4 linked regions of the Saccharomyces cerevisiae S288C genome follow. The gene in region 4 interacts genetically with the main gene of each other region. Each region holds a gene or a part of one and is shown on either strand. Other genes may lie near its edges.

The links.
Region 1: mutations in YPR159C-A (region 4) and YLR012C together harm fitness more than expected from each alone (negative genetic interaction), as found in Saccharomyces cerevisiae (one large-scale study listed by BioGRID).
Region 2: mutations in YPR159C-A (region 4) and MSO1 together harm fitness more than expected from each alone (negative genetic interaction), as found in Saccharomyces cerevisiae (one large-scale study listed by BioGRID).
Region 3: mutations in YPR159C-A (region 4) and FIT1 together harm fitness more than expected from each alone (negative genetic interaction), as found in Saccharomyces cerevisiae (one large-scale study listed by BioGRID).

Annotation. Positions count from the first base shown.
Region 1 is NC_001144.5:169,463-172,274, reverse strand, and holds YLR012C (uncharacterized protein), read left to right. Parts: upstream 1-1,993; coding exon 1,994-2,293; downstream 2,294-2,812. Other genes in the region: PPR1 (Ppr1p), read left to right, coding at 1-7; GAT3 (Gat3p), read right to left, coding at 511-936; LOT6 (flavin-dependent quinone reductase), read right to left, coding at 2,597-2,812.
Region 2 is NC_001146.8:712,508-715,279, forward strand, and holds MSO1 (Mso1p), read right to left. Parts: upstream 1,149-2,772; coding exon 516-1,148; downstream 1-515. Other genes in the region: YNR048W (putative aminophospholipid translocase regulatory protein), read left to right, coding at 1-304; LYS9 (saccharopine dehydrogenase (NADP+, L-glutamate-forming)), read right to left, coding at 1,541-2,772. UniProt on the Saccharomyces cerevisiae protein: Involved in secretion. Component of the secretory vesicle docking complex.
Region 3 is NC_001136.10:1,502,733-1,506,509, forward strand, and holds FIT1 (Fit1p), read right to left. Parts: upstream 2,169-3,777; coding exon 582-2,168; downstream 1-581. UniProt on the Saccharomyces cerevisiae protein: Involved in the uptake of non-siderophore sources of iron and the siderophores ferrioxamine B and ferrichrome. Has a role in the retention of iron in the cell wall and periplasmic space.
Region 4 is NC_001148.4:859,733-861,988, forward strand, and holds YPR159C-A (uncharacterized protein), read right to left. Parts: upstream 684-2,256; coding exon 582-683; downstream 1-581. Other genes in the region: beta-glucan synthesis-associated protein KRE6, read left to right, coding at 1-13; GPH1 (glycogen phosphorylase), read left to right, coding at 1,574-2,256.

The sequences.
Region 1 (2,812 bases), on a different chromosome or scaffold from region 4:
ATTTTAGCGATAGCTCGAAGAATCATGATCAATGGATTGAAAGTAGGGCCACCAATGCTCTTTTCAATCTATTTTTTGAAAACATGAGAGTCCTAAAAGAGCTAACTTAAATGACCGGGGCAGATTAATTGAAAAGTTTGAGGTTTTTGTGATAATCTTCAAAGTTGAACGCATGTATAAAATGATAGAAGCAACAGTCCATTGAGAAGTATGCCACTATAGTCATATATATATATATATATATATATATATATATTTACGTATTAATTGATAAACTATAATACCAACGGCACTTGATACTTGAATTCATCTTACATTTCCAGTGATGATTTTTTTTTCTGGGACTACGCTGATAAAGAAAAATTGCAAGAACTGAGAAACCACTTGTTTTGTATGGCACTTTGACTTTCGAATAACACATAATGTTCGTTATCAACTGTTTAAAGTCGATAAATGTATAATCACTGCTTTGACATAAGTATATAACATTCCGAGCAGAAATAAATTCTCTTAACGCGTTCTTGTAACTCCATAGAGGCTCTTTGGAACTTTTCGTTTGACGCTCACACCTTTTATTTCGTTAAAGTACCGTTTTGCCAGATCCTTGCCAAAAACCAAAAATATTTTTCTATAAAATAATCCACAGGCATTACACAATGTCACCTCTCCATCAGGACCCTCTCTCCATTGCGGAGAAGTTTTTATCACCGCACACTGTGGACATCTCCTGGTGACGCCTTTCCTCTTTTGGACATTGTGCTGAACAACAGCAGTATTATTCGTTGTGACATACAAAGATGCACTAATGGGTTTAGCAGTATTGATTTTTGTTTGAGAGTGAGGTTTTTCGCAGTCTATTGTCTCCTCTACCGGATTCAATAACGATTCAACGGAGATTCTTTTATATTCTGGATGACACAAAGTCTTAATGTTCATAGCAAATTCTTCCTTCTGGCTTTATATTTGCTTCTAGTTGATAATTGTTTACATTTAATGAAATTGTTTCAAATCAAGAAAAGGTAAGATAAGCTCCCTCAAAGAACCTCTCGTCTTATAATATACTCTTCAAACAGAGCAACAAATATTAATTAACATGCTCGACCATTTGTTCTTTTCCATCAAATTGGACCCTAGACCCTTAAAAACATAGATATGACTGAAGAGGAGGTTTTTGACCTCTAGCCTATTATTCCATTTTACAGAGAAGCCTACTTATTTTCTGTGGCAGGCGGCTAAGCAGGTAATGTTGTCCGCATTTTATCAGAAATACTTGCCAAGAAAAAAAAGGGATTTTCATATAAGGGGATTTTCTACAGGTGTTTGTGTGAGTATGTATTGCACCAAATAAGTACTGTGTTAAAGGTTTTGTTGATGCGTTTTCATCGGGGTTAATAGCGTCTAATCCTTCAAGGGAGCTGTAAGTGATACTTTCATTATGCAAACTAAAGAAAGCTGAAGTCCTGGTACGCCACCTGGCACTTCATCTGGCTTCTTTTATTTTTTTATACACAGAAAATAACTTACTTACACTTTTTTTGGAAATAAAACCATTGTCTCGGGGAACATATACATATATATATATATATATATATGTATATAATACCAACTGCAATAAAAGAAAAGAGTCATATTATAAGTATAATTTTGAATGTTCTGTGCATTTTTCACTGTCGAATAGCTTGCTTGTCATGCCAAATAATGGGTTAAATCGCTGTGTGCTGACAATGTATCAAATAATACTTCCCCTAATTGAATGTGTGGCGCTATCCGTATATCCGGACCCTTTTTCAGGGCCGGTCTTGGCATGAAAAAATGTCAGAAGCATGAGTAGAATTAAGTCGAGAACAAACTAATATGAAGGGGATGTTTAATGTAAAAACGTATAAAAAGGCCATGTTCGAGGTGGATAATAGAACAACATTCTATGAAGACGGCAGCTTCAAGACAGAAAATATTCATAGAGATTAAGAGAAAAAGTCTCGAACATATTCAAATGAAGACTGTCTATTACAAAGAAATCACCTACCAGCAGTATCTTCAACTGCAACCTGAACAACAGGAAAAATACCTGGCTTTATGTCAAAAAGATTTTGAACAAGAGACTGAAAGAATTGCATTTGATCGTCAAGGAGGTGTGCCTGGTATTGCTAGGAAATTTGCACAAGAAGAAGTTGCTTGGTTCGATCGCGTTACAACATGGTCATATATGAATGCTTATATTCCGAGCTACAGAAGAAGAAGAAACCTTTTAAAGATTGATATGTTAAAGATGTCTAATGCTGAAGAATACTGAGAATAATTTCGAGCGCCGATCCAAATATTAGGTTTGCTTTATCTTTTTTTATGAAATAAGTTCATGAAATATGAATACTATACCACTACGCATATATATATTTTAAGAAAATTTTCGAATGAAACTTGATGAAATTAGTCCATTAAAAGTGTATGGGTAATCGAAGAGCCCAAACTACCGTTAGTATAATACTTTGTACTTTGTACTCAATACTTAATACTAATTAAAGTCTGGATTACAGTGTCCTATGATAATTGTGTTAGCTTTTCATCTTTTATTGCGACTACAGTTAAATTTTATGGTTTATTTATTCCTCGTTGTTTCGATGCACGATGCGAGTAATTGCAGGATCTCTTCATTGTGCACGCTGAGTTGTGGTACAATGTCCTCGGGTAACGGTATCGTACCTACCGGTATTTTCACCGCCACTCCACCTATAACATTCATCTTCAAACCATGTAGTACCTCTTGAAGTTGGTCATTACACTTACTACCGCCATGACCGCCGTAGCTTACCAC
Region 2 (2,772 bases), on a different chromosome or scaffold from region 4:
CAATGGGTTAGGTAAGGGTATTTACATTGCTGATATAGAACTCAACTACCCAGTAAGATCTTTCTATGGAACAAAATCTTTTGTATTAACCACAAACAGTATTATCGGTGCTGGAAACGAGGCATTAGGGATTGTTTATTTGATTGTTGCCGGGATTGCAACTCTTTTCGCCATACTATTCCTGATAAAAGTCATCTTCAAACCAAGACCTATGCATGATCATAGCTACCTAAATTTTGAGAACAGCGATACCCCATTCGATGAGAGTAGTGTCGTTAGTATTCCATTGAGAGAAATTTTATGATTGATTATCATTTACTATAAAATCCCTGCGTTTGATTCGGTCTCTAGGGAAGCGTTGTAATTTCATGTATATTCAAAATAAGGACGAGGTTATATACCATACTATATTATCTCCTTGCATTCTGTATCAAACACTTTATTCAGTACATATACGATACCTATATATTCATTAAATGTTCTTTTCGCTTTATTTCAGCAAGGTATAGTGCTATTTAAAATCCATAATCGTTATTGCGTCTCTTTAGTCTGTCCTTCATTGCCATTACTCCACTACTTGCGTCTGGTGGCGGCGTTGGCGTGCTGGAGGTGTTGAAACTGTTCGACGTTTTACTTCGACCGAGACTTGCCCTGAATTCTTGGCCTGCTGAAGGTCTAGTCGGCCGTGATGAAGCTCTTCTCGGTGTCGCGCTAGAGGAGCTTGTATGATTATTGTATATATCTTGAAACGATTTACTCGCAGGCGTGTACTCCGGTGTGTTCCCGTTTGAAGAAGGTGTACCCATAGGATCTTCTGAAGAAGCCTTCCTTCTGTTAGAAAAGGATGGCGAGAAATGACGCGAGTTTTGCTTCTTCATATCATGCTTCACTTGAGTATCTAATATTTTACGTTCGTTCGGTAAATCTTCCTTCTCCCCCAACCATCCTGGGAACCCCTGGAAAGGATGCTGATTTTCATAGAATTTCACAAGCCCTTTATGGACCAATGTAGTATTTACAGTATCACCATCTTTTTCTGCTTTAATGGATAAATGTGCCAACGATGTAGATAACGATTTGGTTGACGACTTAAACTTGTTCCAAAATCGCCCGGATCCTTCTTGGGAATGCGATACTTGACTCATCATATGCGTGAAATCTTAGTTATACTGGTAGTTGGTATTAGGGCCTAGCGTCTAATAGTTAGTTGGCGTTTTATTTTTTTGCACCTTTCCTAATAGTATTAATCTCTAAAAGTGAAAAACTCCTAAGAGTCTTTACGAGCTCATTTAATACGTTCTGATCAGAAGCAAGACTATAAAATGCAATAGCCAATACTTTTTAGACTAAAGGTAGACGACTTACTAGCGGTTCAAGCTTCAGGAACTACACTCTCAATTACGTTCTAGTCCATTTTGTCCCTCTTTCCGGTTTTTTTTTTTTTACGTTTCCTTATGAAAGTATAAGTAATACTAAAGAAAGATTTATAAAGTGCCGTTACTGTTACGTATGATAAACCTTTTGATACATTTCTTCTTATTTAAGCCACTGTCTTTTCCTTTAGATAGATGCCGTACTTGTCCTTTAGTTCTTTCATGATTGGATCATTAATCTCTGGTGAGTATGGCGCTAGTAAGCCTGGTCCCTTGATTGTACCATCTAAGACGAATTTCGTTGCAATGGCAACTGGATAACCAACAGTAGCGGCCATAGAACTGTAACCACCAACCTTACCATAGTCAACTAAAGTGGATGTTCTTGTTTCGGTAGTTCCATCAGCCCATTCAATACCGAATTTGTGTTGTAGTACAACCATATCTCTTTCATTGTCTTCATATTGCATTAGTTCTTCTAAACGTGCACATAGAGTGTCTAAAGCATTACCTCTTGGTGTGATCTTTGCGTCAGAGAACAAGCCTAACCAAGCAAACCCGGAAAGGATTCTTTCTCTATCTTCATCATCTTTCCAAGTAGCCTTTGAGTCAATGGAAGCAATCAAATCTTCTTTAGAAGTAGACTTGGCACCTAAATATTGTTTTAGTGCTTCGTTCCAGGCAATTGGCTTGCTGAAGATTTCGTTAGCATCATCCTTCAACATACCCATGTCAACTAAAGCCTTAACAAATTCTGGGAAACCTTGATATCTCAAAGTACCTCTAATGACCGTTTCGGCTTCTGGAATATGATAAAGATCCTTGAAAAGGGTAGAGTCTCTATTTGGGTAGCAAACGAATGCATAACCTGGGTAGATGAAGTAAGGCTTAGCAGTGGCCATTAAGTCTTCGGAAGAAACAGTTTCAATCTTTCCGTCTTTCCAGTATTTAGCAGAGTTTCTTAAAGCCAGTAGCACACCTCTGGAGGACCATGAAAATTTGTATCCTAATGGATTATCAGAGTCTTCAGGAGCTGGTAAACCACCACAGTATGACAAGAATGACTTTAGCTTACCACCAGCTCTGTGAACTTCATCAATAGTCTTGACCGCATACAAGTGGTCGATACCTGGATCCAACCCAATTTCGTTCATAACTGTAATACCTGCCTTTACGATTTCTGGTTCCAATTCTCTTAAGGCAGGTGAGATGTAAGAGGAAGTGACGACATCGGTCTTTGTTCTGATGGCGCTCTTTACCACATTTGGATGGAAGGTGTATGGAATCAAAGAGATGACAACATCGTTATCAGCCAGAACTTTGTCTAAGGCACTGTCATCGGTAACATCCAATGAAATAGCCTTGGATCCAGAGGGCTTGGCCAATGCTTGCGCATTGG
Region 3 (3,777 bases), on a different chromosome or scaffold from region 4:
TTTTTTTTTTAAATTCGGATAACTGGCACAGTACCAAAAGCTAAAATTTCTCACAAAAACATAATTATATGACAAACTGAACTACTCATTGCTACAGGTAATTTCAATAAAATGCGCTCAATGAAGTTGTGAATTTGCTTGCTTGTCTTTCTCGACCTTCTTTCAGTATTATACTCCATTTGAATCTGATCACAAACACGAAAGTTCATTTCTTGTTTTGAACTATAAAATCATCATGTCATTTTTTAACTTTTATTTTCCTTGGCGTCAGATAAAACAAATACCCACTCTCACCTTTTAAAAAGCAAGAAATAAATAAAATGGTTATTTTTGAAAAGTCATATTTAACAAGTGAAATAGACATTGTTTTTAGATTATTTTAATCAACACCTGATATTTTCTTGATATAATATTACATACTGGTACATTCTTATAGACAGCCAGTGTCACGCAGACAAATAACATTGCGGACATAAGCTTTATCAACTATGATGAAATACTTAATTCACAATGCCATTTTGAAAAGTAAGACCACGGAGAGATCAGAAAGGTTGATTCTGCGCATCTGTCGTTAGCAGAAATTACAAAAAGATAACGGCAGCGAGCGCAGCGCCCATCAGACCCGTACCAGCGGCGATAGAATCAGCCGCACCCGTGTAATTCACGATTTGAGGAGTTGTGGACGACTTACCGTTAGTGAAAATACCAGCGGTAGTGGTTTGAACTCTTGTAATAGAGGATACCATTTTTGTGCTTGCAGAAGAACTTGATGACCAATTGTTACTTTCATGGGTACGAACAGATTGGGCATCCCTAGAAGAACTCTCTGTGTAAGCTTGCCCAATTCTAGTAGGAGTAACAATAGTAGCGCTTGACTCAGAGGAGGTGGTAGTAGATGCTACAACTGCAGACGTGGATTTAGAATTAGAGGAATTTTCAGTAGTAGTAGAAGAAAAAGTTGGCACAACAGAAGAGGTTTTTGCAGCAGAAGAAGTCTCAATAGGAGAAGAAGCCTGGACAGAAGATGAAAGAGAAGTCTGAGTAGGAGATAAGCTTTTAACAGAAGTGGTCTCGATAGTAGAGGAAGAAGAAGAAGTCTCAACAGCAGAAGTCTCAACAGCAGAAGAAATCTCAACAGCAGAGGAAGTCTCAACGGCAGAGGAAGTCTCAGCAGCAGAGGAAGTCTCAGCAGCAGAAGAAGTCTCAACAGCAGAGGAAGTCTCAACAGCAGAGGAAGTCTCAACAGCAGAGGAAGTCTCAGCAGCAGAGGAAGTCTCAACAGCAGAAGAAGCCTCCACAATAGAGGCCTCAGTAGTGGAGGGAATTTCAATAGCAGAAATACTAGAAGTTGCAACGGTGGAGGCAGGAGCGCGTTCACCCTCACCAGTCCATACGAAAGTAGCGTCCTGGGTGACGGTCTTTGTGTAGACATGTCCATTTTTGGTGGCTGTAATAGTGGTAGTTATACTCGAACCAGATCCTTCATCAGTAGAGGCAGAAGGTTCAGCAACAGATGTTACTGGAGAAGCAGCTGTTTCGACAGTAGCAACGGTTGAGACAGGAGCACGTTCACCCTCACCAGTCCATACGAAAGTAGCGTCCTGGGTGACGGTCTTTGTGTAGACATGTCCATTTTTGGTGGCTGTAATAGTGGTGGTTATACTCGAACCAGACCCTTCATCAGCAGAGGTGCCCTGAGCAGAGGTAGAAGGTTCAGCAACAGATGTTTCAGCGGCAACAGATGTTTCGACAGTAGCAACAGTTGAGGCAGGAGCACGTTCACCCTCTCCAGTCCATACGAAAGTAGCATCCTGGGTGACGGTCTTTGTGTAGACATGTCCATTTTTGGTGGCTGTAATAGTGGTGGTTATACTCGAACCAGACCCTTCATCAGCAGAGGTGCCCTGAGCAGAAGTGGAAGGCTCAACAATAGATGTTTCAGCGGCAACAGATGTTTCAGCGGCAGCAGACGTTGCAGCGACAGTAGACGCTTCAGTTACTGCGGAGGTTACCGCAGCGCCTTCTCCTGCCCAGACAAAAGTAGCATCTTGAGTGACAGTCTTGGTGTAAACATGCCCATTTTTGGTAGCAGTTATCGTAGTAGTAATACTTTCGCCTAAAGCGGCAACGGTGATAGCAGATAATACAAAAGCGGAAGACAATTTCATTTTCGGGTATTGTATTGTTATTACTATTATTATTCAGGCGAACAAAAGGACTTTCTGAAAATAAACACGGCATTAGGAATATAGAAAAGTTAGATAATCATTAGTTTAAATAGTGCAAAAACTTCACTTCAAAAATGGTATACGAGTGTCATATTATATTAGATATTCATTTTTTTGCACCCTTTCCTAGAACTCGCGTATTGAGCCCTGAGGTGTCTGTCATTACATTATGCCAAATGTGCGACAGCGCGGTTTGGAACAAACAGGGTGCGGAACAGGGTGCACGGCATAGTTAAAAATGGAAGTTTTGGTGGGTTGTTTAAACTCTGATTGTAATTGGCGACCATTCACTGCTTATTTCGTTTATCTGGTAATTGTCAACATGGTAATGACCATCAAAACAGTAAACCCGATACTCGAAAAAGTGCTCAGCGCGATCACTGTCGTCTGGCCAATAACATTTTATAATAAAATACGTTTTTCCTGAAAGTATCAATTAGAAATAGCGATGCATAAACCGATTAATGTGAGATCCTAATACTGTTCCATTTGTTAGTCTTTTTTCCACAATTGCTCCTCTTTTTTTCCTTTCAAAACTTATAGAAAAGTTCTTGATGATTAAATAATCAGTAAAAAAATACTGCCCAATAAGTTCAAAGCGATCACGAATATTTTAAGAACATATGGGAAGAAGATGGCACAGATTAACGATCGTTAACAAATTATGTACCATAGAAGTATCAATTCTTCCAGTGTTGCACTTTAATGGAAATATAAGGATTAAAATAATGTTTCTCCATTGACTACCAAATAATTTTTCTCCATTGGCTACCAAATAATCTTTCTCCATTGGCTACCAAATAATCTTTCTTCATTGACTACCAAATAATCGATAAGATAAAATAGCACGAAGCGATATGAAAATACACAGTCGGCTAAAAATTTGTGGGTAATTTACCTTCTTGATGCATCAAAAATCGACTTTTTAAGAGTTAATAATCATTAACCTTATTCTGACGAAAATAGCAGCGTATTTAACTCTATTGTACAAACATAATTTTCTTCTTATTGCGTTAGAGTTTCCTTTGCTATGGATCAATGAAATTGCAGATTACGAAAGAATCAAAAGAAATAAAATCGGAAATCATGACATGTGCTATGGCCTGTGTTTCCAGGTGTAAAAGATAAAGCAGAACTAACCAAGTTCATTAGAAAAGTACAATACCAAATGGAAAGAAAAAGGAATTGTTCTTCTAAGCTAATCGGCAACCGCTTATAAAGTCTACCCCATTCAGTAAGATCGAATATCTTGGAGGTCATATATGTTCATTCATCGGTGAGTGAGGATAATAGTGGCTTTTGTAAAAATTTTTATTATGGTGCTAATACACCATACTATTTCTGAGGCAACACCAAAGAAGGGTCCGAGAGTTCTTAGGCAGTAAAAAAGTTACACAGCCTCAGAAGACAGGGATCATGCAGTAAAAAAAAAAGCTCGATAATTTCATCGATCAATTGACCAGCCAATTTATTCTTATACCCTTATTTCTACCGATATAAACAGTTGGATAAACGGACAGGTTGAAGTGCAACGTTATTCAATGGTGAC
Region 4 (2,256 bases):
GTTATCCTCTTAAGCGGGTATTTTGATGGTAAATCTACAAGCCCTCGGCTTTAATTATTACCATGGTCATAAAAAGTTACTTACAATGCATACATTTTTCTTTTAGGAAGAAATAAAATATAAAAGACTTATCGTTCAAATCGGGTCATAAAGGGAACTAAAGGTATACTAAGGTAAGACGGGGTTCTCATCTGCACGTAATTTTTTATTATTTTTAGTGAGGGAGAACTTTACCTCTAAGATTGTTTATATAGGTATACACATTTTTGTAAAACTGATTATTCGTTTTTTTTTTTGAAACAAGTTATTAGTACAAAAATCAAGCTCTCACTACTTACCAGTAGTTATTTTAGTAGAATATTATTAACTCTACCGAATAAGTACGATATGAGAAATTGCTGATTTACTTGTGTGTGTTCCTATTATTATCCAGGAGCGCCTCTAATCTATGCTTATAATTTTACGTTGAAAAAAAAGGAGTCTGTATAATTATTTCAAATTCATCCTTTTCTCACGGATATTGTGTACCCTATGAGGTAAATAATTGCGCTTTATTTTCTCCCTGTGTTTGCTCGCTCATCTTAAGACGAAAAAAGTAATGGAACACCTACCATCAATAGAAGTACCACACTCATGTAAATAACAAGCGCAAGTGGTTTAGTGGTAAAATCCAACGTTGCCATCGTTGGGCCCCCGGTTCGATTCCGGGCTTGCGCAGATTTTATTTTTTGCTCCCTTCTAAAGCTCTGGATGATTCACCAACTTATCCAAGGCAAGGTCCAACTACCGTTTCCTTCGATGAAAAAGACAATAGGTAGCTCTGTCAAACCCCGTGGAAACGCAAACTCATCGGGAGTGTCCTACTGCTTTCCACTAGTTATCCGACTAGCAAGGCAACTAGTCAAGATGAAACCGTCTCACGAACATTTGTATACGATCTCTTCTCCTGATAGACAATGAAATATACCCCGGTGCTTGTTTCCCACTAAGGAAAAAAGGCCGCTGCCCCACAGCGGGAAGGCCCTTCAAGGGGTAGCGGCATCGCCTAGTAGCACTGTGGGGGGAAGAATACAACGCTCAACGGAAGAGGAAGCTCTGCGAGATGCAGCCAGCACCTTCTATGTTTCAAGGATAACATTTTGAATTAACAAGGAACGCCTTCCCCAATTACCGTTATTGTATTTTTACTTTTTAGAGACTCTCGAGGAAATAAGTAAGGGGTGGATAATTTTCGCTAAAAAAGTTTCAGGGGAGGTTAATAACTACCATGTGCATGCTACAAAGATAAGGAAGGAACACCGACGAATATATTATATGTATAAAAGGAGCATGAAGTTTGTATAGCAGTAAAGCAAGATTCTTTGTGCCTTCCCGTTTCTTGTTGTACCTTTTGTTTTGATTACGTACGAAGTATTATAAGTTTTTTCTGCTTGCTATTGTAATATAAAGTAAGCACAGATTGAGAAGGTAACGATTACTAAAAATATCCAAAAGAAAAACAATTGGATCTTTTTTGACTTCTCTACATTACAATTTCAGTAAAGCAGCTTTCAACTTAATTTAATTTTGAACAATGCCGCCAGCTAGTACTAGTACTACCAATGATATGATAACCGAAGAACCTACTTCTCCACACCAAATCCCAAGGCTTACAAGGAGACTTACGGGGTTTCTTCCCCAAGAAATCAAGTCAATTGACACGATGATTCCTTTAAAGTCAAGAGCGTTATGGAATAAGCATCAAGTCAAAAAATTTAACAAGGCAGAAGATTTTCAAGATAGATTCATTGACCATGTGGAAACTACATTAGCACGTTCCCTATATAATTGTGATGACATGGCTGCTTATGAAGCTGCTTCGATGAGTATTCGTGACAATTTGGTCATTGACTGGAACAAAACTCAGCAGAAATTCACCACAAGAGACCCAAAGAGAGTTTACTATTTGTCTTTGGAGTTTTTGATGGGTAGGGCTTTGGATAATGCCCTGATTAATATGAAGATTGAAGATCCGGAAGACCCTGCTGCCTCAAAGGGAAAACCAAGAGAAATGATTAAAGGGGCTTTGGATGATTTAGGTTTCAAGTTAGAGGATGTCTTGGACCAAGAACCGGACGCAGGTTTAGGTAATGGTGGTCTAGGTCGTCTTGCAGCTTGCTTCGTCGACTCAATGGCAACGGAAGGCATCCCTGCCTGGGGTTATGGTCTACGTTATGAGTATGGTATCTTTGCTCAAAAGATTATTGACGGTTACCA